Lonchura striata: one gene and its partners. The main gene of each other region encodes a partner of the protein of the gene in region 2 in a complex. Links are inferred from orthologs where the notes say so. Each region holds a gene or a part of one and is shown on either strand. Other genes may lie near its edges.

Region 1 (7,177 bases), on a different chromosome or scaffold from region 2:
CTTCACCGAGAGCTGGGGGGAGAGCACCCCAAAATTCACCCGGGGACACCCCAACAATTCCTGAGAAACACCCCAAAAAATCCCCAAAATCCCCAGAGAAATCCCCCCAAAAACCCCCAGAGAAATCCCCCCAAAAATCCCCGAGAAATCCCCCCAAAAACCCCGAAAAAACAAAGATTCCCCCCAAAAACGCCCCCGGAGCCGCGGATGAAGCAGTTCTTCACCGAGAGCTGGGGGGAGAGCACCCCAAAATTCACCCGGGGACACCCCAACAATTCCTGAGATACACCCCAAAAAATCCCCAGAGAAATCCCCCCAAAAACGCTGAAAAAACAGACAAAGATTCCCCCAAAAACGCCCCCGGAGCCGCGGATGAAGCAGTTCTTCACCGAGAGCTGGGGGGAAAGGCACCCCAAAATTCACCCGGGGACACCCCAACAATTCCTGAGACACATCCCAAAAAATCCCCAAAATCCCCAGAGAAATCCCCAGAGAAATCCCCCCAAAAATCCCCGAGAAATCCCCCCAAAAACCCCGAAAAAACAAAGATTCCCCCCAAAAACGCCCCCGGAGCCGTGGATGAAGCAGTTCTTCACCGAGAGCTGGGGGGAAAGGCACCCCAAAATTCACCCACAGACACCCCAAAATTCACCCACAGACACCCCAAAAATTCCTGAGATGCACCCCAAAAAATCCCAAAAATCCCCAGAGAAATCCCCCCAAAAAACAGAGAGAAACGCTCCAAAATCCCCCCAGGTAACCCCAAAAATCTCCCCAAAATCCTTCCCAGAAATCCCCAAAATCCCCCCAGATCACCCCAAAATCTCCCCAAAAATCTCCCCAAAATCTCCCAAAATCCCCCAAATTCTCCCCAAAATCTCCCAAAATCCCCCAAAAATCTCCCCAAAATCTCCCAAAATCTCCCCAAATCCCCCAAAATCCCCCCCAGATCACCCTAAAATCTCCCAAAATCCCCCCAAAATCCCCAAAATCCCCAAAATCCCCCAAATGCCCACCATGTGCGGGTACTTCTCGGGGTCGGTGACGCTGATGTCGGTCAGTTTGATGTTCAGGTACTGGGGGGCACGGGGGGGTCAGAGACCCCCAAAATTACCCCAGAGACCCCCAAAATTACCCCAAAATTACCCCAGAGACCCCCAAATCCACCCAGAGAACCCCAAAATTACCCCAAAATTACCCCAGAGACCCCAAAATTACCCCAAAATTACCCCAGAGACCCCCAAATCAACCCAGAGACCCCCAAAATTACCCCAAAATTACCCCAGAGACCCCCAAATCCCCCCAGAGACCCCCAAAATTACCCCAAAATTACCCGAGACCCCCAAAATTACCCCAAAATTACCCCAGAGACCCCAAAATTACCCGAGACCCCCAAAATTACCCCAAAATTACCCCAGAGACCCCCAAATCCACCCAGAGACCCCCAAAATTACCCCAAAATTACCCCAGAGACCCCCAAAATTACCCCAGAGACCCCAAAATTACCCCAAAATTACCCCAGAGACCCCCAAAATTACCCCAAAATTACCCCAGAGACCCCCAAATCCACCCAGAGACCTCCAAAATTACCCCAGAGACCCCCAAATCAACCCAGAGACCCCCAAAATTACCCCAGAGACCCCCAAATCAACCCAGAGACCCCCAAAATTACCCCAAAGACCCCAAAATTACCCCAGAGACCCCAAAATCCCCCCCAGAGACCCCCAAAAATGCCCCCAGAGACCCCCAAAATCCCCCAAAATCCACCCAGAGCCCCCCAGAACCCCCAAAAATCCCCCCAGAGACCCCCAAAATCCACCCTGGATCCCCCAAAACCCCCCCTGGGACCCCCAAAATCCCCCCAGGGACCCCCAGAATCCCTCTAGGACCACCAAGAGACTCTCCCAAAACCCCTCCAGGGACCCCCAAAATCCTCCTGGGACCCCCAAAATCCCCCCCAGGGACCCCCAAAATCCCCCCAGGGACCCCCACTCACCTGATCCACCGAGTGCAGGGTCCCGCAGATGCTGGGGGGAGACACGGGGAGAGTTTTGGGGGTCCCTGGGGGGGTTTTTGGGGATCCCAGGGGGGGTTTTGGGGTTCCATGGGGGGTTTTGGGGGTCCCAAGGGGTTTTTGGGGGTCCCAGGGTGGGTTTTGGGGTTCCCAGGGGGGGTTTTGGAGGTCCCAGAGGGATTTTGGAGGTCCCAGGGGTTTCCAGGAGGGTTTTGGGGGGTCCCAGGTGGCTTTTGGAGGGTCCTGGGTGGGGTTTTTGGGGGGTCCCAGGGCTGGGGGGGATTTTGGGGGTCCCGGTGGGATTTTTGGGGGGTCCCAGGGGGGTTTTTGGGGGGGATTTTGGGGGTCCCCCTCACCTGAGGTCGTTTTTCAGCTCCACCACCACGTCTTTGCCCACCAGGGACTTGAAGAAGGAGTAAAACAGCTGAGGGGGGCACGGGGGGGGTCAGGGGGGTTTTGGGGGGCTCCCAAATCCCCCCGGGGACCCCAAAAACCTCCTCGGACCCCCAAAACCCCGCCCGGACCCAGAACCCCCCCGAGTCACCCAAAAAAACCCCAAACCCACCCAAAACCCTACAAATCCCTCCCGGACCCCCCAAATCCCCTCCGAGGCCCCCCAAAATCCAACCCAAATCCCCCCAAATATCCCCCCCGAGACCCCCAAACCCCCTTTGAGTCCCCAAACCCCCCCGGACCCCCCCAAATCCCCTCGGACCCCCCCAAAAATCCCCCCGGAGCTCCCCAAATGACCCCGGACCCCAAAATCCCCCCAGACCCCTCCAAACCCCCCTCGGACACCCCAAAATCCCTTCAGACCCCAAAAGCCCCCCAAAATTCCCCCTGAGACCCCCAAAATCCCCCAAACCCGCCTCGGACCCCCCAAAATCCCCCAAAATCCCCCCAGATCCCCCGCCCCCCCCCCCTTTCACCATCTCCGCCCGCCGGAGCGCGCCGCGCAGGCCACGCCCCCTTCCGCCGCCGGCCACGCCCCCTCCGCCGCCGAGGCCACGCCCCCTGGCCAATCACCGTTGGGTTCTCGCTTTTAAGCTCCGCCCGCTCGCCGGAACCACGCCCACCCCCGCGCCGCCGAGGCCACGCCCACCGCGGGGGTGGCGGGAAATGAGTCAGGCGCGCGCCCCGGGGTCAAAGGTCACCGGGAGGAGGGGGTGCTGTGACCCCTGTGACCCCCCCCGTGACCCCTGTGACCCCCAGTGTCCCCCCCAATGTCCCCCAATGTCCCCCCAATGTCCCCAATGTCCCCAATGTCCCCAATGTCCCCCCCAACGTCCCCAATGTCCCCCAATGTCCCCCCAATGTCCCCCCAATGTCCCCCCAATGTCCCCAATGTCCCCCCAATGTCCCCCCCAATGTCCCCAATGTCCCCCAATGTCCCCCCAATGTCCCCCCAATGTCCCCCCAATGTCCCCGATGTCCCCAAAGCCCCCAATGTCCCCAATGTCCCCCCAAAGCCCCCAATGTCCCCAATGTCCCCAATGTCCCCTCCCTGTCCCCGATGTCCCCCCAATGTCCCCAATGTCCCCCAGTGTCCCCAATGTCCCCAATGTCCCCCCGATGTCCCCCCAATGTCCCCAGTGTCCCCAATGTCCCCTCCCTGTCCCCGATGTCCCCCCAATGTCCCCAATGTCCCCCCCAATGTCCCCCCAATGTCCCCAATGTCCCCAATGTCCCCCCAAATGTCCCCCCAATGTCCCCAATGTCCCCCCAATGTCCCCCCCAATGTCCCCAGTGTCCCCAATGTCCCCAATGTCCCCCCGATGTCCCCCCAATGTCCCCAATGTCCCCGATGTCCCCTCAATGTCCCCAATGTCCCCCCAATGTCCCCAATGTCCCCAATGTCCCCCCAATGTCCCCCCAATGTCCCCCAATGTCCCCCCAATGTCCCCAGTGTCCCTAGTGCCCCCCCAATGTCCCCCCACTGTCCCCAATGTGCCCCAAATGTCCCCCCAATGTTCCAATGTCCCCAATGTCCCCCCAATGTCCCCCAATGTCCCAATGTCCCCAATGTCCCCAATGTCCCCCCAATGTCCCAATGTCCCCAATGTCCCCAATGTCCCCCAAATGTCCCCAATGTCCCCCAAATGTCCCCCAAATGTCCCCAATGTCCCCCCAATGTCCCCAATGTCCCCAATGTCCCCACTGTCCCCAATGTCCCCAGTGCCCCCCCAATGTCCCAATGTCCCCAATGTCCCCCCAATGTCCCCCCAATGTCCCCCCAGTGTCCCCCACTGTCCCCAATGTGCCCCAAATGTCCCCAATGTCCCCAATGTCCCCACTGTCCCCAATGTCCCAATGTCCCCCCAATGTCCCCAATGTCCCCAATGTCCCAATGTCCCCAATGTCCCCAATGTCCCCAGTGCCCCCCCAATGTCCCAATGTCCCCAATGTCCCCCACGTGTCCCCTGTCCCCGTGTCCCCTCCCAGGCCACCCTCGCCCACGCGTGGCCAGGTGGGGACCGGGAGAACCGGCCAGGCTGGCGGTGATGGCACCGAGTGTCACCAGAGTCTGTCACCGAGTGTCACCTCCCCTGTCACCTGCCGCTGTCACCTGCCCCCTGTCACCTCCGGTGCCACCTCCGCTGTCACCTGCGCCCTGTCACCGTCCTGGCACCCACCTGGCACCTCCCGTGTCACCTCCGGTGTCACCTGCCCCTTGTCACCCACCTGGCACCCACCTGGCACCTTCCCTGTCACCTGCCCTGTCACCTCCGGTGCCACCTCCCCCCTGTCACCTCCGGTGTCACCTCCCCCCTGTCACCTCGGGGATTTAAGGGCGGCCCCGGGGCCACCCCGACATCGACGGAGCTGTCGGTGAGTGGGGACAGCGAGGGGACATCGGGGACATCGGGGACATTGGGGACTGGGTGGGGACAGGGATGGGACATCGGGGACATTGGGGACACTGGGGACAGGGAGGGGACATTGGGGACATTGGGGATGGGGACATTGGGGACATCGGGGACAGGGACAGGGATGGGGACAATGAGGGGACAGGGAGGGGACAGGGACGAGGACAGGGATGGGGACATTGGGGACGGGATGGGGACAGGAAGGAGACAGGGAGGGGACAGGGATGGCACGGGACAGGGTGGGGACACGGGGACAGGGACAGGGACACTGGGACAGGTAGGGGACATTGGGACAGGCATGGGGACATGGGGACAAGAACAGGGACAGGGACAGAGACACAACAGATGCTGGGGACAGGTTGGGGACATCGGGACAGGGACAAGGACACTGGGGACAGGGACAGGGACATTGGGACAGGGACAGGGACACAGGGACACAGGGACAGGTTGGGGACACGGGGACAGGGACAGGGACAGGGACAGGGACACAGGGACACAGGGACACAGGGACACAGGGACACAGGGACACAGGGACAGGTTGGGGACATCGGGACAGGGACAGGGACAGGGACACAGGGACACAGGGACACAGGGACAGGTTGGGGACATTGGGACAGGGACAGGGACAGGGACACAGGGACACAGGGACACAGGGACAGGTTGGGGACATCGGGACAGGGACAGGGACATGGGGACAGGGTGGGGACATCGGGACAGGGACAGGGACACAGGGACACAGGGACACAGGGACAGGGATGGGGACATCGGGACAGGGACAGGGACATGGGGACAGGGTGGGGACACGGGGACAGGGACAGGGACACAACAGACGCTGGGGACAGGTTGGGGACATCGGGACAGGAACAAGGACACTGGGGACAGGGACAGGGACATCGGGACAGGGACAGGGACACAGGGACAGGTTGGGGACATCGGGACAGGGACAGGGACATGGGGACAGGTTGGGGACATCAGGAGAGGGACAGGGACACAACAGACGCTGGGGACAGGTTGGGGACATCGGGACAGGAACAAGGACACTGGGGACAGGGACAGGGACATCGGGACAGGGACAGGGACACAGGGACACAGGGACAGGGACATTGGGACAGGGACAGGGACACAGGGACACAGGGACAGGTTGGGGACATCGGGACAGGGACAGGGACATGGGGACAGGGTGGGGACACGGGGACAGGGACAGGGACACAACAGACGCTGGGGACAGGTTGGGGACATCGGGACAGGGACAGGGACAGGGACACAGGGACACAGGGACACAGGGACACAGGGACAGGTTGGGGACATTGGGACAGGGACAGGGACACGGGGACAGGGTGGGGACATCGGGACAGGGACAGGGACACAGGGACACAGGGACACAGGGACAGGTTGGGGACATTGGGACAGGGACAGGGACATGGGGACAGGGTGGGGACATCGGGACAGGGACAGGGACACGGGGAGAGGGACACGGGGACATGTCAGGGACATTGGGACAGGGACATGGTGACAGGGATGGGGACACTGGAGACAGGGACACTGGGGACAGGGACAGGGACAGGGACAGGGACAGGGACAGGGACAGGGACAGGGACACAACAGACTCTGGGGACAGGTTGGGGACATCGGGACAGGGACAGGGACACAGGGACAGGGACAGGGTGGGGACACGGGGACAGGGACACAGGGACAGGTCGGGGACATCGGGACAGGGACAGGGACACAGGGACAGGGACAGGGTGGGGACACGGGGACGGGGACACAGGGACAGGTCGGGGACATCGGGAAGGCGGGGGTGGGTGGGTGGGTGGGGACACGGGAACAGGGTGAGGACGTGGGGACAGGATGTGGGGACAGGGCTGGGACATGAGGGATGTGGCATGGGGACAGGGACAGGATGGGGACAGGGACAGGGACAGGGACAGGGACAGGGACAGGGACAGGGAGGAGGACATGGGGACAGGGACAGGGACAGGATGGGGACAGGGACAGGGAGGAGGACATGGGGACAGGGACAGGGACAGGATGGGGACAGGGACAGGGACAGGGAGGAGGACATGGGGACAGGGACAGGGACAGGATGGGGACAGGGACAGGGACAGGATGGGGACAGGGCAGGGACAGGGACGGGGACAGGGATGGTGACACAGGCCGGGGCAGGGGCTGTGACCCACCGTGTCCCCTCCATGTCCCCGCCATGTCCCCCTGCTGTCCCCATGTGTCCCCACCCTGGCCCCACTGTCCCCTCCTTGTCCCCTCCATGTCCCCCCTGTCCCCACTGCCCCTTCGATGT
Region 2 (8,001 bases):
AGAACACTACTTTATGGACAAATAATTCATAGGAAGAAAATACAGAAACTGAGACTAGCATTTGCAACAAATGACTGAATTGAAGGTGGCTGGCAGACTTGCATTACTGAACTGAACAGAGCAAGTACAAACCCAAAAGTCTGTACTGACAATATTTATTTGATTTTTTTTTCCTTGCTAATTGTGCTGTAACTCTAGGTATAAACTTCTAGGGGAACACAGAAAGACATTGTACTGCCAAGAGCAGTGCTGACAGCTAATAATTTTGAAAACTACAGACATCAGTAAATGGATTAACTTTGCTCAGCTTTTCATTACAAACAACCGTAGCTAAAATACCTATATGTTTCTTTCATAACTGCCTCTTTCTCCACCCCACCTTCTTCTCCTCTTTCACTTTTCATGTAACCTTACCAGAAATGCAGAGGCACAACTAATGTTTGAGAACAAGCCACAGCTATTCACACTTCTGATAATGGTTAAATAAATACACATTTTAAAAATCCTCCCTAAACCCACACTGATCCAATACAACAGTTACCTGATTTATATTCAGTAATAGATAAATCCTTTCTTAAACAAGGTGTTTTAATCTAGCAAACCAATCTTTGTATTTTAAGGGATAGGTTTTTATGAGTTCCCTGTAAAGAAAATATAAAAGTGTATTTTTAGAAAAGGTGTTTAAGGCAAAATTTGTGAACTCAATTCGTGTTTCAATCAATGTTTGATTGAAACCCTGACAAAGCAAAAAAAAAAAATTCTAACATCTTACAATTATGATTTGTTTTGACATTCAGTGAAACCTTGCTTCTTTTTCATGTAACTCTAGGGGAAAAACCCAGTCAGCTCCAAGTGGAGTACATTTCAGGGAAAACAATCTACTTTGTACTTTAACATAGCATTCTAGTTTCTTTTCCTGTGAAAACTGAAAAGAAAACCTTGTTCTCCTATCATAAAGTACAGATAAATATTACTGCTACCCAAAAACATGCTGCAGCCTAAAAGAATATTGCACCAGGGTAACAAGTGTAAAATACAGCCACATTGTTTTCAAATTTAGCCTGCAATTATAGCACGTTAACATTCTGTATTATTCTCTAGAATAAACACCTGTACAATTGGAACTTTTACTCACTCTTTAAAACAGCAGAGATCCAAACATGGCTTGTAAGCAAGAAGATGAGGTAGGATCTCCCCCTTTAATCTGCCATTTCTGCAGAGGGAGATTTTTAAATAAGAAGTTACTCTGTTCTTTCTTCCCCCAGTCACCCCTAGCTGCCAGCAGGTCTGCCAAATTGCCAAGCATCCCACCATACTAACAGTAAGTTAGTACTGTAAGTCCATACTAACAGTATCTGAGCATAACACTCCCACCAGGCTGAATACAAAACAACTGTATTAAAACATGTCACAACTCTTTACGGCATTCTAATACATCTTAACCCCTGGCTGTGGGTGTAGATTTTTAATTGTGGGGACTTTCAAGTTATTTTAAAAAAGTTCAAAGGCAAAATAAACCACAAAAACAACTCCATGTCAATCTATGCAGCATGCACAGAATTTTCTATGAAAGCAGTGAAGTTGTGGATGCCCCATTCCTAGCAGTGTTCAAGGCCAGGCTGGATGGGGCCCTGAGCAACTTGGTCTAGTGTAAGACACAGCAGAAGAGCTGGAATGAGATCTTTAAGGTCCCCTCTAACTCAAACCATTCTATGATAGCTGGCACTTTTTCCTACCCAAGTTATGTTTCTAATTCAGATTTTTTTACTTCTTTCTTCATGTGGTTCAGTTAAAGACCTGTCAATATTCTACATCTACTGCTTCGCAAATCCTTTAGCAAATATATAAAAAGGTAAATTATAGCTGATTGTGTATTCTAATTTTTCCTATCTATCTATCTATCTATCTTTCTTAAGTGACCAGATGTTTATAATCATTCAGTTTCCATCTGAAAACAGCTGTGGAGTTCAGCTCTAAAAAATTAATTCAGTCCATGTAACTCAGTGGAATGCTACTGGTGTCCATGGATAACATCACTGACAGATTAATCAGAATTATATGAATGACAGATTAATCAACACCATCCTGCACATTTTAGCACCTCACCGCTTTTAAGAGCCAAAATGAAAGTAAATTTTCAAGTCACTCAGATAGAAACCTGAAGGTATCACACATTTCCACTGTAAAGTGAGACTGCTGGGTTACTTGGAGCCGCAGTAGCACTGTTTCTGCCTGAATGCCGATGGCAGCTCAGTGACGGGTTATTAACAGGCAGCAATCTCCATTTCCGAACATCTACGATGCTCTTTTCACCCCCCAGAACACTGCAAACATCAGGGCAGTCTTTAGGAGACACTCATGAAAGTGTAACCACACAGCTTTCCCGCTGCCACCTAAAGCTGGAATACCTGTGCGGAATCCCAGTTATAAGCTGCCCCAGTCTCCAAGCAAGCCATAGGGAACACTGAGCTCAGGAGCAGAAAGCTCCCGTTTACCTTCTCGGCGATGCTGTACAGGACCTCATCCATCTTCATGCACGTGGGGTCCCAGTCGTGCCCGAAGCGGATGACCACGACCCGGTCCTCCTCCGACAGGATGGCCTGGTCGACCTGCCACCCATTGTGCAAGTGCGGCAGCATGTACGACATCCTGGCGGCCGGCTGGGAGCCTGCGGGACGGCAGGGATACACATGGAGCCGACAGCCCGGGCCCTCCCGGGGCGCCGGCGGGCGCCGAGCGCCAGCACCGAGTGCCGCCCACCCCACGCGGCCCGCCCGTCCCGCCGCGGCCCGTCTATCCCGCCGCGGCCCGTGCCCATCGCAGCCCGTCCCCAGCGCACCCCGCGGGCGCCCTTCCCTCAGAGACGGAGCGGCGGCAGCGCCGGCACGGGCGGGAAGCGGAAGGGCGGGCACGGGGCTGCGCGCGCACTCGCGCGGAGGCACACACACACACACACACACACAGACACACACACACATGCGCACGCGCACAGACACGCGCACACGCACACACGCGCACACACACACACACGCACACGCGCACACACGCGCACACACGCACACGCACACACGCTTCCGGGCGCGCTCCCCACGGGAGGAGACCCCGTCAGGGACACCCGCGTCCCGCCGCGTCCCCACGCGCAGGTGGGAGGTGGAGCCGTGCCGTGGGGATTGGTGATGCCGGCTAGCACGGAGAGGATTAAACAGAGGTGATCAGGGCCCCGATCTCCTACGCTGTGCTGCTGACCTCTGATTGTTAGTACATTCTCCTGTGCCTCCATGGGATTTGACCAAGGAGATATGCTCAGAGAAGCTGTGGATGCCCTATTCCTGGAAGAGTCCAAGGCCAGGTTGGACGAGCAGCCTGGTGTAGCGAAAGGTGTCCGTGCCCATAGCAGAGGAGCTGGGTCCAGATGCTCTTTAAGGTCCGTTCCAGCCCAACCATGCTGTGATTCTATGCTATTGCATCTCTTGGCTGTGGAAGGTTTTCTCAGTGTATTCACCCACAGCATGACAATTTCCATACCCCCAGTGTCGGCCCTGCCGTGGCAGCTGCACTGCCAGCCACTCCGATACTGGCGGTGGGGTTCCATGAGGTCTCCCGCCGCTCCAGTAATCAAAATACCACTACCGGATCACTGCGCAAACGTTCCAGTGGAAGTGGTCAGCAGCAAAACCAGCACATTCCAGCACTGGTTTCTACAATCGAGCTGGCCATTGGCATAGGCCATCCCAGACCAATCTGTTTCCTTAATTCCACAGCAGACACTAATTTGAAAGGTTAGCTTGCAGCAGGCAGGGACAAAAGTATCGTTTTCACTATAAAAATTCCCCACAAGGTGCAGCTTGGGCTGTGGTGAGCAATGTGATTTGGTGACAAATAGCTTTGCCCAACAATGCTGAGCTCTCCAAAAACTATCCAAGTCCTCCAAGTCTCGCTTTGTCGCCTTTTTAGGACGTGCGGGCACAGGAGAAGGAGAGGGAGAGGAGAGACAGTCCGATCTGGCTGTAGCCACGGGCAGAGGCAGCGGGGGCGGTGATCCCCGTGCCGGAGCTTCCCTGGGAGTCGCCAGCCCCGGCGCCGGCAGTGCCCGGGCAGGGCTGGGTTAAACGAGCGGGGCTGGGCAGGAGCGCCTGTGCCCGGCCCGGAGCGGGGCCGTGAGCTCCTGGCTCTGCCCGCTGCCGCGGGACCGAGCTGTGAAAGGCACGTCAGAAAAAACAGCCCCGCTGGGTGCTTTGGTTGTCCCTCAGGTATAGCAAGTCTTCTTCTTCAGAAAAGTTAGTGGGAGGAATTGATCCCGGATAACACAAGCTGTTAACTTTAATTGAAAACTGAGTTAGGAAAATTTATGTAGGTTTATTTTGTTATGATTTAAGTCCAAGGTGATACAGCAGTGCCAACCAACAAATTTGAGAGTAAGGAGTGCGTCAAGCTCCACAGATGAAATAAGGCAACTTCAATTAGTGCTGAAGTTAATACTTACATATATTTGCCCCGTTGTCTTAATCGAAGTCATATTTTCAAAGTTTTCTCTGCAATGCCAGGACCAGAACTTACTACACTTACCTTACATAAATCATTTGATATAAGGTAAATGTAGTAAGTTCTGGTCCTGCCATTGATTATGTGATTATGAGATTATGACTGTTTACCTACATGGAAGCATGTAGGTAAACAGTCCTATGTAAATACAAACGGAGAAGAGTCAACTTAAAAAAAAAAAAAAAAAAAAAAAAAGGGAAAAAAAAAGGAACTTAGTGATACTGCAGATGGTACTAGTCCAAAACCAAAAATGTCATATCCTTGACAGCTGTTAAATTTAGCACACTGGACAAGACATCTGATAACTGAATAATTATGTTCAGGAGCAAAGCATCAAGTCTTTCAAAACTGATTCCCTTGATGTTTGGCCAGTCAAATTTGACGTACGAATTTATTAATCCAGTTGTTATTCTTGTGTACATCGCTGTCGCAGAAGTGTCATTTACAAATAGAGCTACAGGATGTGCCCACATAGTGATGGAAGACAAACAATAAGCATTGGGACCAAGGTTGGTATCTGGAGAGCCCCCTTCCTTCTTTGAGGTTCCTTTAAGTGTTTTTTGTTTCCTGCTATCAGTGTAATTTTTTAAGATTGTATCTGGGGCAAGCAGAAGACGCAGTTGTTGTTGAACCAGTGCTGAAGGCAGTGAATGGGTCATGCATGCATCAAACAGCTGGAATGGTGGGCTCAGCGTGCTCACACACATTGAAAGATCCATCAACATGCCACTAGCCTGCTTCTAGTGCACCAGCTGGTTTGTTTATAGCTAGAGGCTTCCTCATGGGTCACCTTTCTGCTTCTGAAGTGTAGGAAAGGCTTCCAAAGTGAAAGCAAGTCTGGCTCTGCCCATCATGTGTGGTGTATTGCAATGGGTAGCGGTTGGTGATGAAAGCAGATGGAATAATACAGTGCTGCCTCATTGGCATCTACCAGTCACTTGGTCCTGTCTGACGCCCAGTTTTCCCTGCTTAACAGCAGAAGGTTTAACTGCCCTCCAGGATTACCAGATTCCGATCATTTATGAAGCTGGACAATGCCATCACAATATGACATCAACTCCTCTTTTATTCTATGCATAATTCATTCTGCAATACAAATCTAGTTTATTCTAGTAATGTTGTATGATACTCTTAAGAAATGCAGACTGCATCTGGGGAAATTTGCAATTTTGACAACTACATGTGGCTGACAACTTCAGCTGGTAAAAAAAATATTAGATGTATATAAAAACATGATCTTTGCAATTTGGTTGCACTGTTCACCTCCTTGCTTTGTTTGCTGTAGTTGAAAACCAGATACTATTATCAGAGATATTGTGGTGAACTGCAGACCTGCCCCTTCAAGCCCATGTACAAAGCAGACTGAAACTGAAGCAGAAAAGCACATCAAGGCCAGGATAAAACAGCAGTACTGGTGCTGAGCTTGTAACCATTTAATCGATGTGGTTGGGATAAGTATGAGTTTGCTCAGGGCAATGGTTGACAAAACCTTCCAACCTACACTTACACTTTTTTGTCACAGGTTTGAGTTCTGATTACTCACAGAAGGCTTTTGTGAGAGGAGTGAAGCAATAGGACACAGCTGACCAGCACTGTGTGCCCAGAATAAAGTAGCATACTGCTGTGGAAAATTGTTCTGATTCAAGTAGCAAAACATCAGATTTCCTGGACACAAGTCTAGGAGATAGAATGGGATGGAGATCAAAAGTCAGTGGAGCACAGCAAAAATAATTGTAGGAAATTAGGCACAGCTATTATTAAGATATGCAGGAAATCTTCAACTACCACTTTTGCCAATAGGAGCTCCAATTAGATGTTTGGTTGTGTGTGGAGCCCCTATCTTATTGCAGAGTGCATTTGCAGGAGTGTTGTAGAGAGGACTGGGCTCAAAACTCTCAGGGCAGAGGAAAGTTCTAGCATGAAGGACTGTGTTATCAGTGGTATCTCCTCTAGTGCTCTTCCTCACTGGTTCAGCACATAGGTGTGTTAAATTTTGCATGAGGTAAGTTCAGGTAGAGATTGGAATGTTTAAAGCACTGAAGGCAAGCAGCCTAACAGCTATCCAAGAGTGGCCCTTCATTGTGCAAATTTGTTAGATGTAAACCATCTTTGGCCGATATTTGTCAGACCTATCTGGGCCTCAGTGCCACCCTACATTGCCTGTGGCTTCACCAACCACAGCCAACAGGCAAGAAACTTTGAGTAAATTTCTAGCAGCCTGTTTCATAGCACTGCTTATAGAAAGGCATTGGTGAGTAAGCTACCAGAAAAGCTACTAGTTTTGTATGAAATCAATATTGATTCAGGAGTAACATGAAACTCTGAGAAGAACAGTTTGTAGTACTGGATTTGGATGTAAGAGTGTGGGTATTCCTTGGTGTTATAGTCTAAATCAGCTCTTGGTAAAAGTACTTGGAAGTTGTCTGACATACCACGCTAGTACCAAGTGACTGTGGATTAAAAACACTATTGAGTTCCATTTGTTTTCTGACCTACTCATGTGAATTTAAGTGATAACTTTTAAAGGAACATCATTGCTTCTTTCAGGGTGTTCTCCTAAACAAAGGAGTATTTCTTCTATTCCTCTGTTGCAGGTCATGGCAGAAGGAGAGTTGCCAGCTCTTTTGATCCTGGATATAGCAGTGTGGCTACCATGCAGGCGCGGTGGGAGAAGGGCTTTGGGAATTGGAAGCTGAGCAAGATTCATTTCTGTATTTCCCCAAGTTTCTAGAAAGTTTTGTTTCAGCATTTTTCTGTAACCCCCCTTTTCCCCTCCCCTGAGCCATTCCCATTGGACTTGACCCATGGGATGATCATTATGTCCCCAGGCTGGACACTGTCTCTATTGTCTTGACCTTATCTCTTAATTTTTCTGTATAAAAACTGTATCTGGACAACTGCCCAGGGTCTTTTTGTCCCTGTGGCATTCAGGCAATACAACCTTCTCTGGACTGCACACAAATTGACCTCTCTTCGTATCTTTATCCTGAATCCTTGTGGCCACTGTGGCACGCCGCCGCTCGGACCACACCAACCCAGCCGCTGCCTGGTAAGCCCAGAGCAGTGGGACTGCAGCAAACCCTGGTTTCCTGAGGGGACAGCTAGCCAGAGGGGTCCCGGAGGGCCGGGGAGGAACGGGGAACATCATAAGTGGCACACCAGCGTGGGGCTGTGGTTTAAAAGCACTGTTGAGTTCCATTTGTTTTCTGATCTACTCATGTGAATTTAAATGATAACTTTTAAAGGAACATCATTGCTTCTTTCAGGGTGTTCTCCTAAACAAAGGAGTATTTCTTCTATTCCTCTGTTGCAGGTCATGGCAGAAGGAGAGTTGCCAGCTCTTTTGATCCTGGATATAGGAGGAACTCATGGTGTGCTGCAAGACCTTGCAGCACTTTTGAAAAAACACTTTCACCTTATCACCATTAAGGAATTTATTGGAAACAAAGAAGAAATGAG
Region 3 (7,773 bases), on a different chromosome or scaffold from region 2:
CCCCAAAAATCCTCCTGGATCTCTTCTCTGCATCCCAGCGATTCCAGATTTTTCTCAATACTCCTAAAAACCTTTTCTTGCATCTAAAAATTCTACCCCAAATTCTTTTTTGTGCTCCTCACAATCTCCTAAAATATTCCCTGTGCCCTAAAATCTCCTCCCAGATGCTCTCCAAATTTTTCATATGCCCCAAAATCCCATCCTGGCCCCCCAAAATTCCCCCTGAAAATCCCAAATCCCCCCAAACCCTCCCGGGAATTCCCAGTTCCTCCCCAAACCCCCCAAATCCCCTCCCAGCTCCCCCAAAACTCTCCTAAACACCTCCCAAACCCCCCAATTCCTCCCAAATTCCTCTCATCCCCCCCCAAAACCCACAAACACCCCCAAATCCTCCCTAAACACTCCCAAATCTCCCCAAAACACCCAAATTCCTCCCAAATTCCTCTCAGCCCTGCCAAAATCCCCAATAACACCCCCAATTCCTCCTAAATTCCCCCCAAAATCCCTCCATACGCTCTCCCAGGCCCCTTACACCCCCCAATTCTTTCTCAAACCCTCCCAAATTCCTCTCAGCACCCCAAAAACCCCCAAATCCTCCCAGTTCCTCCTCAAATGCCCTTCAGCCCCCCCAGTTCCACCCCAAACACCCCCAAATCCCCCCAATTCCACCCCAAATGCCCCCTAAACCCCCCCAATTCCTCCCCAAACCCCCCAAAATCCTCCCCATATTCCCCCAAATCCTCCCCAATCCCCCCAAATCCTCCCTAAACCCCCCCAATCCCCACAAATCCTCCCCAAACCCCCCCAATTCCTCCCCAATCCCCCCAAATCCTCCCCAAACCCCCCCAATTCCTCCCCATATTCCCCCAATTCCTCCCCAAACCCCCCCAAATCCTCCCCAAACCTCCCCAAATCCTCCCCAAACCTCCCCAATTCCTCCCCATATTCCCCCAATTCCTCCCCAATCCCCCCAAATCCTCCCCAAATCCTCCCCAAATTCCCCCAATTCCTCCCCATATTCCCCCAATTCCTCCCCAAACCCCCCAAAATCCTCCCCAAATCCTCCCTAAACCCCCCAAATCCTCCCCAAACCCCCTCAATTCCTCCCCAATCCCCCCCGTACCCCAGTTTCTGGTTCAGCAGCCGTTTCTCCTTGGCCGCCGCCAGCTTCTCACGGATCTCCTCGCGCTGCCGCAGCGCCAGGGGATTGATCAGCTCGGCTGCCACCGGCTCCTCCTTGGTGCCCGCCTCTGCCCAGGCAGCGCCCCAAAACCGGCCCCAAAATCAGTGAAATCAACCCCAAAACCAGCCCCAAAATCAGCCCCAAACATCAGTGAAATCAGCCCCAAAACCGGCCCCAAAATCGGTGAAATCAGCCCCAAAATCAGCCCCAAACATCAGTGAAATCGGCCCCAAAATCAGCCCCAGGGCACCCCACAATCCACCCCAAAATCAACCCCGTAATCCACCCAAAAATCGGTGAAATCAGCCCCAAAATCGGTGAAATTGACCCCAAAATCAGCCCTGGGCAGTGCCCCAAAATCAGTCCCAGGCACCTCACAATCCACCCCAAAATCAGCCCCATAATCCACCCCAAAATCAGTGAAATTGGCCCCAAAATCAGCCCCGGGCAGCGCCCCAAAATCAGTCCCAGGCACCTCACAATCCACCCCAAAATCAGCCCCATAATCCACCCCAAAATCAGTGAAATTGGCCCCAAAATCAGTGAAATTGGCCCCAAAATCAGCCCCGGGCAGCACCCCAAAATCAGTCCCAGGCACTTCACAATCCACCCCAAAATCAGCCCCATAATCCACCCCAAAACCAAGGAAATCAACCCCAAAATCAACCTCAAAACCAGCCCTGGGGCACCCCAAAATCCATCCCAAATCACCCCCCAGCAGCACCTCAGAATCAGCCCCAAATCGTCCTCGGGGCACTCCACAATCACCCGAAAATCACCTCTGGGCAGCGCCCCAAAATCACTGAAATCGGCCCCAAAACCAGCCCCAAGCACCCCAAAAATCCCCCAAATTTCCCCAAAATCCCCTCACCTTTCTTGGCCGGGCCGGTCTCCAGCGGTTTCAGTCCCAGTTTGGCCCGGAGCTTACTGGGAACAGGGAAAGGGCTCAGGGGAGGTTTGGGGTGGGGGGACCCCAATTTTGGGGGATTTGGGGTGGGGTCCTCACTTGGTTTCTTCCACGCTCAGGGAGGATTCGCCTGCTGCGGGTTTAGGAGGGGCTGGAGAGGATAATTAATAAATTATTAGTAATTAATTAGAATTAGGGGAGCGGTTGTAACACTCAAAACCCCAAAATTCCCACTGAATACCCCAAAGTTCTCTTTAATCTCTCCAAAATCCCCTTTAACGCCCCAAATTTCACCTTTAACCCCCCAAAATCCCTCTGGGGTCTCTCTCATCCAAAGCTGCCCCCCCCAAACCCCCAAAATCACCCCCAGCTGCAACAACCCCCCCTCAAAATCCCACTAATTGCACCCCAAAACCTCCTCCAACCCCCGCAAATCCTCCAGCACCCCAAATCTTTGCTGTGCCCCTGAAACCCCCCCCAAAATCACCTCCAGCACCCCCGAGCCCCTCCCGACACCCCAAAATCCCCCCAAACTCCCCCTCAAATCCCTCCCCAAACCCCAAATTCCTCCCCAAAACTTCCCAGCCCCCCCCAACCTTTCCCCCCGCCCTCACCGGGCTCCTCCCGCTCCTCCTTCCTCTCCCTCTTCGCTCTCCGCTCGCTCTCGGTGCCGCCCCGGCCATGGCCGCTCCTCCCGCTCTCCTCGGCTCCTCCGCGCCGGGAGGAACCGGAGCCTCCCCCGGAGCCCCCGCGCTCGCCCCGGGAGCGGCTGCGCTTCCCGCGCCGCTCCCCGCCGCGGTGCCGGTGCTTGCGGTGCTCGCGGGGCCGCCCCGCGCTGCCGCCGCCGCCCGTCCCGGCCGCTCCCGGGGTCTCCTCGGCCGCCTCGGCCCCGCCGCGCTCCCGGTGCTTCTTCGAGGCGCCCATGGCCGCGCCGCCACTTCCGGGAGACAGCGGCACTTCCGGTGGTTGCCATGGAGACGCTTCCGGTGTTTGGCTACTTCCTGCGGAGCGCGGTGCTGATTGGCCGAGGTTTAGGCGGGACTTGAGGGGGCGCTGTGGGATGAACCATTATGCGCGCGGAGGGGTGGGCAGAATGAGCAGGATGGTTGTGACGCCGTCCTGTCCCCCCACAAAGGGCTGAAGATCTCCGTAAGAGGCACCGAGGATCTCCCGACTCGGTTCCCAGTGAGGAGACCCCGTGCGGTCTGCCCGATGAGGGGGCTCCGTAAATAGCGCACCCCCGGGGCACAGCAAAATGGCTGCGCCTAGCAGCGCTGAATAGAGACTTTGACAACAGCAAAATGGCGGCTGCTTGGGGTGTGGCAAAATGGCGGCGCATGGGGGGTACCCCGAAAAGGACGGGGGCGTAGAGAACCCTCCGGGAGAAGAAAAAGGCACGAGCCCCATAAGTGGCGTTCCGCTGAGCGGTGGCGCAAACCAGAGACTCCAAAACGCGCCCTCCGGGGCTCTGTCCCGCCCCGTTCGCCCCGGGGCGTGTCCGGCCCCCCCCGCCTCGTGCTCTTTGATCCGCCCGGGCCGGGCGCCGCGGCGGCGCCAGGGGGCGTGGTCAGTGAAAGTGGGCGTGGTTTGCCGGGGTATAAAAGGCTGCGCCGAGCCTCCCCCCCTCAGCCCCGTCACGAGGCATCGGCGAAGGTGCCGCCTGCTCTGAGGGGGCTCGAGCTCGGCGGGGCGCTTCTGGGGGGCGCAAAAGCCTCTTTGAGGATTTTGGGGTGTGCGGGAAGGGCTCGAGATCCCCCCCAAGGGCGGATTTGCTCGTTCAGGGACTCGTTGAGGTGCGGCCGCGAGGCCTGGAAAGATCTTGGGGCGTTCTGGGGCCTCTGTGAGGCTTTTGAGGTCCCTGGGGTGAGGGGTGTTAGATACTCAAGAGGAGCTTGAAACCCGCGCTAAGAGGATTTTAGGGTGCTACCGAGGAGGTTTTGGGGTGCGGGGAGCACCTTTGGATCTCTTTAAGACGCTTTCCCCACGGTGGGGGGGGATAAAGTCGGGGTTCAGAGGCCGTTCGTGGGGTGAGAGTTCAACCCCGCCCCGAAGCCTTTTGGGGCTCGGGGTTTTTCTGAACATTTCGGGGTGTTTTATTTCCCCCCCAGATGGAGCCCGAGGCGGCACCCCGCGAGCTGGAGCTGTCGGCGCTGGAGGCCGAGACGGAGCCGATGGCGGCGGCCGAGCCCGCGACCCCCGCGCAGCCTCCCCCAGCCCCGGAGCAGCTGCCGGGCGTGGAGAAGAACGGCCTGAAGATGAAGATCCCCCCCGAGGAGGAAGAAGAGGCTCCTTTAGGGGGTTCGGCGCCTTCGGGGAGCCCCAAATTCACGGGGCTGGGCAAGGAGGAGCTGCTGAGGGAAGCGGGGACGCCGCTCTGGGCCCGGGCCCGCCTGGTGCTGCTCGTGCTCTTCTGGGGGGGCTGGATCGGGATGTTGGGGGCCGCCGCTGCCATCGTGGCGCAAGCGCCCCGCTGCCAGCCCCTGCCCACCAAAGCCTGGTGGGAGCTCGGGGCGCTCTACAGGGCTCCCCCCAAGGCTTTTGGAGGTGATCTGAAAGGTGAGGGGGGGGTTTTGGGGAGGTCTCCTGGGAGTTTGGGGGGTGGGAGGGTCCCAGAGGATGGCTGGGGGAATTTGGGGGGATCCCTTGGGGGGGGTCCCATGAGGTGTTTGGGGGCGGTTTAGAGAGTAATTTGGGGGGTGGGAGGGTCCCAGAGGATGGCTGGGGGAATTTGGGGGGATCCCATGGGGGGGGTTTAGAGAGTAATTTTGGGGGTGGGAGGGTCCCAGAGGATGGCTGGAGGAATTTGGGGGGGGTCGGGGTCCTTTTGGGGGGTGGGAGGGTCCCAGAGGATGGCTAGGGAAATATGGGGGGATCCCATGGGGGGTTTGGGGGGGTTTAGAGAGTAATTTTGGGGGTGGGAGGGTCCCAGAGGATGGCTGGGGGAATTTGGGGGGGGTCCCATGAGGGGTTTGGGGGGGTTTAGAAAGTAATTTTGGGGGTGGGAGAGGGTCGAAGGGTCCTAGGGGATGGCAGAAGGAATTTGGGGGGTGTTCTCTGGGGGGCTTAGGAAGTTTGGGGGATCCCTAGAGGTGAGTTGGGGGTGTTTAGGGAGTCTCCAGCCTGGTTCTGGGGAGGTTCGGAGGGTTGGGGGCATCCCCAGGAAGGTTTGGGGGTCTCCTGGGAGCCTGTGAGGGGGGGGGAACACCCCATTTAATAAACCCCTAAAATGAATTAAAGAATATTTTGTGGGGGGAGTCGTTTCAGTGCCCCCCCAGCATGTGTCAGGGTGATTTACCAAAAAGAACCCACAGGATCAGATTGGGGACCCCCATTTCAGGACCCCCCCACCCATAAAAGAGCCTGGGGACAAGTGACTCAGCAACTTGGGGGGTTCCTCCACTTTAGGGGAGTCCCACGATCTCTGGGAATTGCTCAAAGCCTGAGCGGGCCCCCAAATTTTGGGGATTTTGGAGTTTCCTCCAATTTTGGGGTGATCTTGGGATCCTGGGAGGACGTTTTAGGACCCAGGGGCTGGTTTTGGGGTCTAGGTGGGATTTTGGGGTTGTGTTGTCGGGTCAGATTTGGGGTTCACCCCTTTTTCCTCCTCTCCAGGTGTGGAGAAACGTTTGGGGTACCTGAAGGAGAAGCTGCAGGTGGGGGGGCTGGTGCTGGGCCCCGTGTACCCCCAAAAATCCCCCGAGGCCAAAATCCCCCCCCTGAAGGAGCTGGACCCCACCCTGGGCACCATGCAGGACTTCAGCGCCCTGGTGCATGCAGCCAAGGACAAAGGTGAGCTGGGGGCACCCCAAAATTGGGGGGGACGACCCCAAAACTGGGGGCGGGGGGACACTGGGAGGAACCCCAGAATTTGGGGGAAATGTTGGATACGGGGCGGGGAAAAATGGAGAGCTTGAATTTGGGGGAGGGGCAGCAGAGAATTGAAGGGGAAGACCCCCAAAATTTGAGGGGCACAAAATTGATGGGGGGGGACACCCCCAAAATTGGGGGTGGGGGGGGAATGCAGTGGGAGCCTCAGTTTGGGGGTTCCCATGGTTGGCTGTTTAGCAAGGCAGAAGGAGCCCCCAAAAAAGGGGGATCCCCCATAGTGGGGGGGGGGGTCTGTGATGCTGGGGGGGTTTTGGGGTGCCCTGACCCCCCCATTTTCACCCAGGGGTGAAGGTGATCCTGGACCTGACCCCAAACCCCGCCGGGAATCCGGTGTGGGGGGACGCAGCCCAAGACTCTGAGGTGCACCAGCAGGTCCAGGTGGGTCTGGGGGGGCTGTGGGGTGGGGGTGGGGGGCTTGGGGGTGTGGGGGACCCCCCTGAACCCCCCCTGTGCCCCCCCAGGCCGCCCTGAGCCATTGGCTGAAGGAGGACATTGCTGGGATCTTCCTGGATGGCATCGAGGAGCTCCCGGTGAGGGGGCTGGGGGGGATTTGGGGGAGTTTGGGGTGGAATTGGGGGTTTGGGGTAGAATTTTGGGGGTTTGGGGGTTTGGGGTAGAATTTTGGGGGTTTGGGGTAGAATTTTGGGGGGTCTTTAGGATCTCTGGTGACCCCCGCTGTGTCCCCCCAGAACTTGGTGGTGGCCCAGTGGAGGAACCTGACGGAGCAGCAGCCGAGCCCCAGCGGTGTGGACAGGTGCGACCCCCCAAAAAACGTCCCTGTGTCACCCCAATGTCCCCCCAAACTCACTGACCCCAAAATGTGTCCCCTGTGTCACCCCCAAACTCACTGACTCCCCCCCAAACCTCTCCTCCTCTCACTCTTTGCCTCATGGGTTTCTTCCTTGTATTTTGGGGTGCTGGGAGTGCTCCCCTGACCTTCCCGCCCCCATTTTTGGGGTGATTTTCTGACCTTTTGCCCCTATTTTTGGGGTGCTTCCCTGGCCTTTTCTAGGTCAGGAAAAGGTTGTTTTTTGGTTGTTGCTCTGATCTTCATTTTTGAGGTGCTCCCTTGACCTTCCCCCACATTTTTGGGGTTCTCCTGTGATTCATCCTCCCTGTTTTCCAGGTGTCCCCCTGCTCTTTCCCTCCTCATTTTTGGGGTGCTCCCCTGACTTTTCCCCCCTGATTTTTAGGGGTACTCACCTGACTTTTTCCTATTCATTTTTGGGGTGCTTCCCTGCCTTTTCCCCCCTGATTTTTGGGGTACTTACCTGTTTCCTCTTCATTTTTTGGCGTCTCCTCTGATCTTTTGCTCCTCATTTTCAGGGCTCTCCCCTGACTTTTCCCCCTGATTTTCAGGGCTCTCCCCTGACTCATCCCCCCCATTTTTGGGGTGCCCCTGTCTGTTTTTAGGGTGCTGGTGGGGGGCACGCGCCTGCAGGACCCCTGGGAGGTGCCGCGGGGCCCGGGGATGCCGCAGCTGCTGCTGGGACCCTTCCTGCAGCCCCTGGAGCCCAAGGGCGACTCCAAGGCCCCCGAGGACGTTGTGAGGAACCTCCTCAACTTCCTCAGCTCCAACTCCTCCGTGGGGCTGGGCTGGAGCGTGAGTGCTGCCCCCCAAAACCTCCCCGGGACCCCCCAGATCCCTCCAGGAGCCCCAGAACCTCCCCGGGACCCCCCAGATCCCTTCAGGAGCCCCAAAACCTCCCTGGGACCCTCCAGATCCCTCCAGGAGCCCCAAAACCTCCCCGGGACCCCCCAGATCCCTCCAGGAGCCCCAAAACCTCCCCGGGAC

What was found. Proteins that work in one complex are often made in the same cells at the same time.
Region 1: TXNL4A (region 2) and LSM2 share a complex: the UniProt entries of both Homo sapiens proteins name them as parts of the precatalytic spliceosome. The link is inferred for Lonchura striata from reciprocal best matches to the Homo sapiens genes TXNL4A and LSM2.
Region 3: TXNL4A (region 2) and SART1 share a complex: the UniProt entries of both Homo sapiens proteins name them as parts of the U4/U6-U5 tri-snRNP complex. The link is inferred for Lonchura striata from reciprocal best matches to the Homo sapiens genes TXNL4A and SART1.

The regions. Positions count from the first base shown.
Region 1 is NC_134631.1:266,779-273,955, forward strand, and holds the start of LSM2 (U6 snRNA-associated Sm-like protein LSm2), read right to left. Parts: upstream 3,015-7,177; 5' UTR 2,947-3,014; coding exon 2,944-2,946; intron 2,439-2,943; coding exon 2,371-2,438; intron 2,028-2,370; coding exon 1,997-2,027; intron 1,077-1,996; coding exon 1,017-1,076; intron 13-1,016; coding exon 1-12. UniProt on the Homo sapiens protein: Plays a role in pre-mRNA splicing as component of the U4/U6-U5 tri-snRNP complex that is involved in spliceosome assembly, and as component of the precatalytic spliceosome (spliceosome B complex).
Region 2 is NC_134603.1:84,665,612-84,673,612, reverse strand, and holds the start of TXNL4A (thioredoxin-like protein 4A), read right to left. Parts: upstream 3,013-8,001; 5' UTR 2,979-3,012; coding exon 2,840-2,978; intron 2,669-2,839; coding exon 2,496-2,668; intron 1,212-2,495; exon of another isoform or gene 1,136-1,211; intron 1-1,135. UniProt on the Homo sapiens protein: Plays a role in pre-mRNA splicing as component of the U5 snRNP and U4/U6-U5 tri-snRNP complexes that are involved in spliceosome assembly, and as component of the precatalytic spliceosome (spliceosome B complex).
Region 3 is NC_134638.1:688,656-696,428, forward strand, and holds the start of SART1 (U4/U6.U5 tri-snRNP-associated protein 1), read right to left. Parts: upstream 3,015-7,773; coding exon 2,705-3,014; intron 2,242-2,704; coding exon 2,190-2,241; intron 2,111-2,189; coding exon 2,055-2,110; intron 1,251-2,054; coding exon 1,124-1,250; intron 1-1,123. Other genes in the region: amino acid transporter heavy chain SLC3A2, read left to right, coding at 4,199-4,646, 5,703-5,879, 6,262-6,356, 6,440-6,508, 6,668-6,732, 7,392-7,581. UniProt on the Homo sapiens protein: Plays a role in mRNA splicing as a component of the U4/U6-U5 tri-snRNP, one of the building blocks of the spliceosome. May also bind to DNA.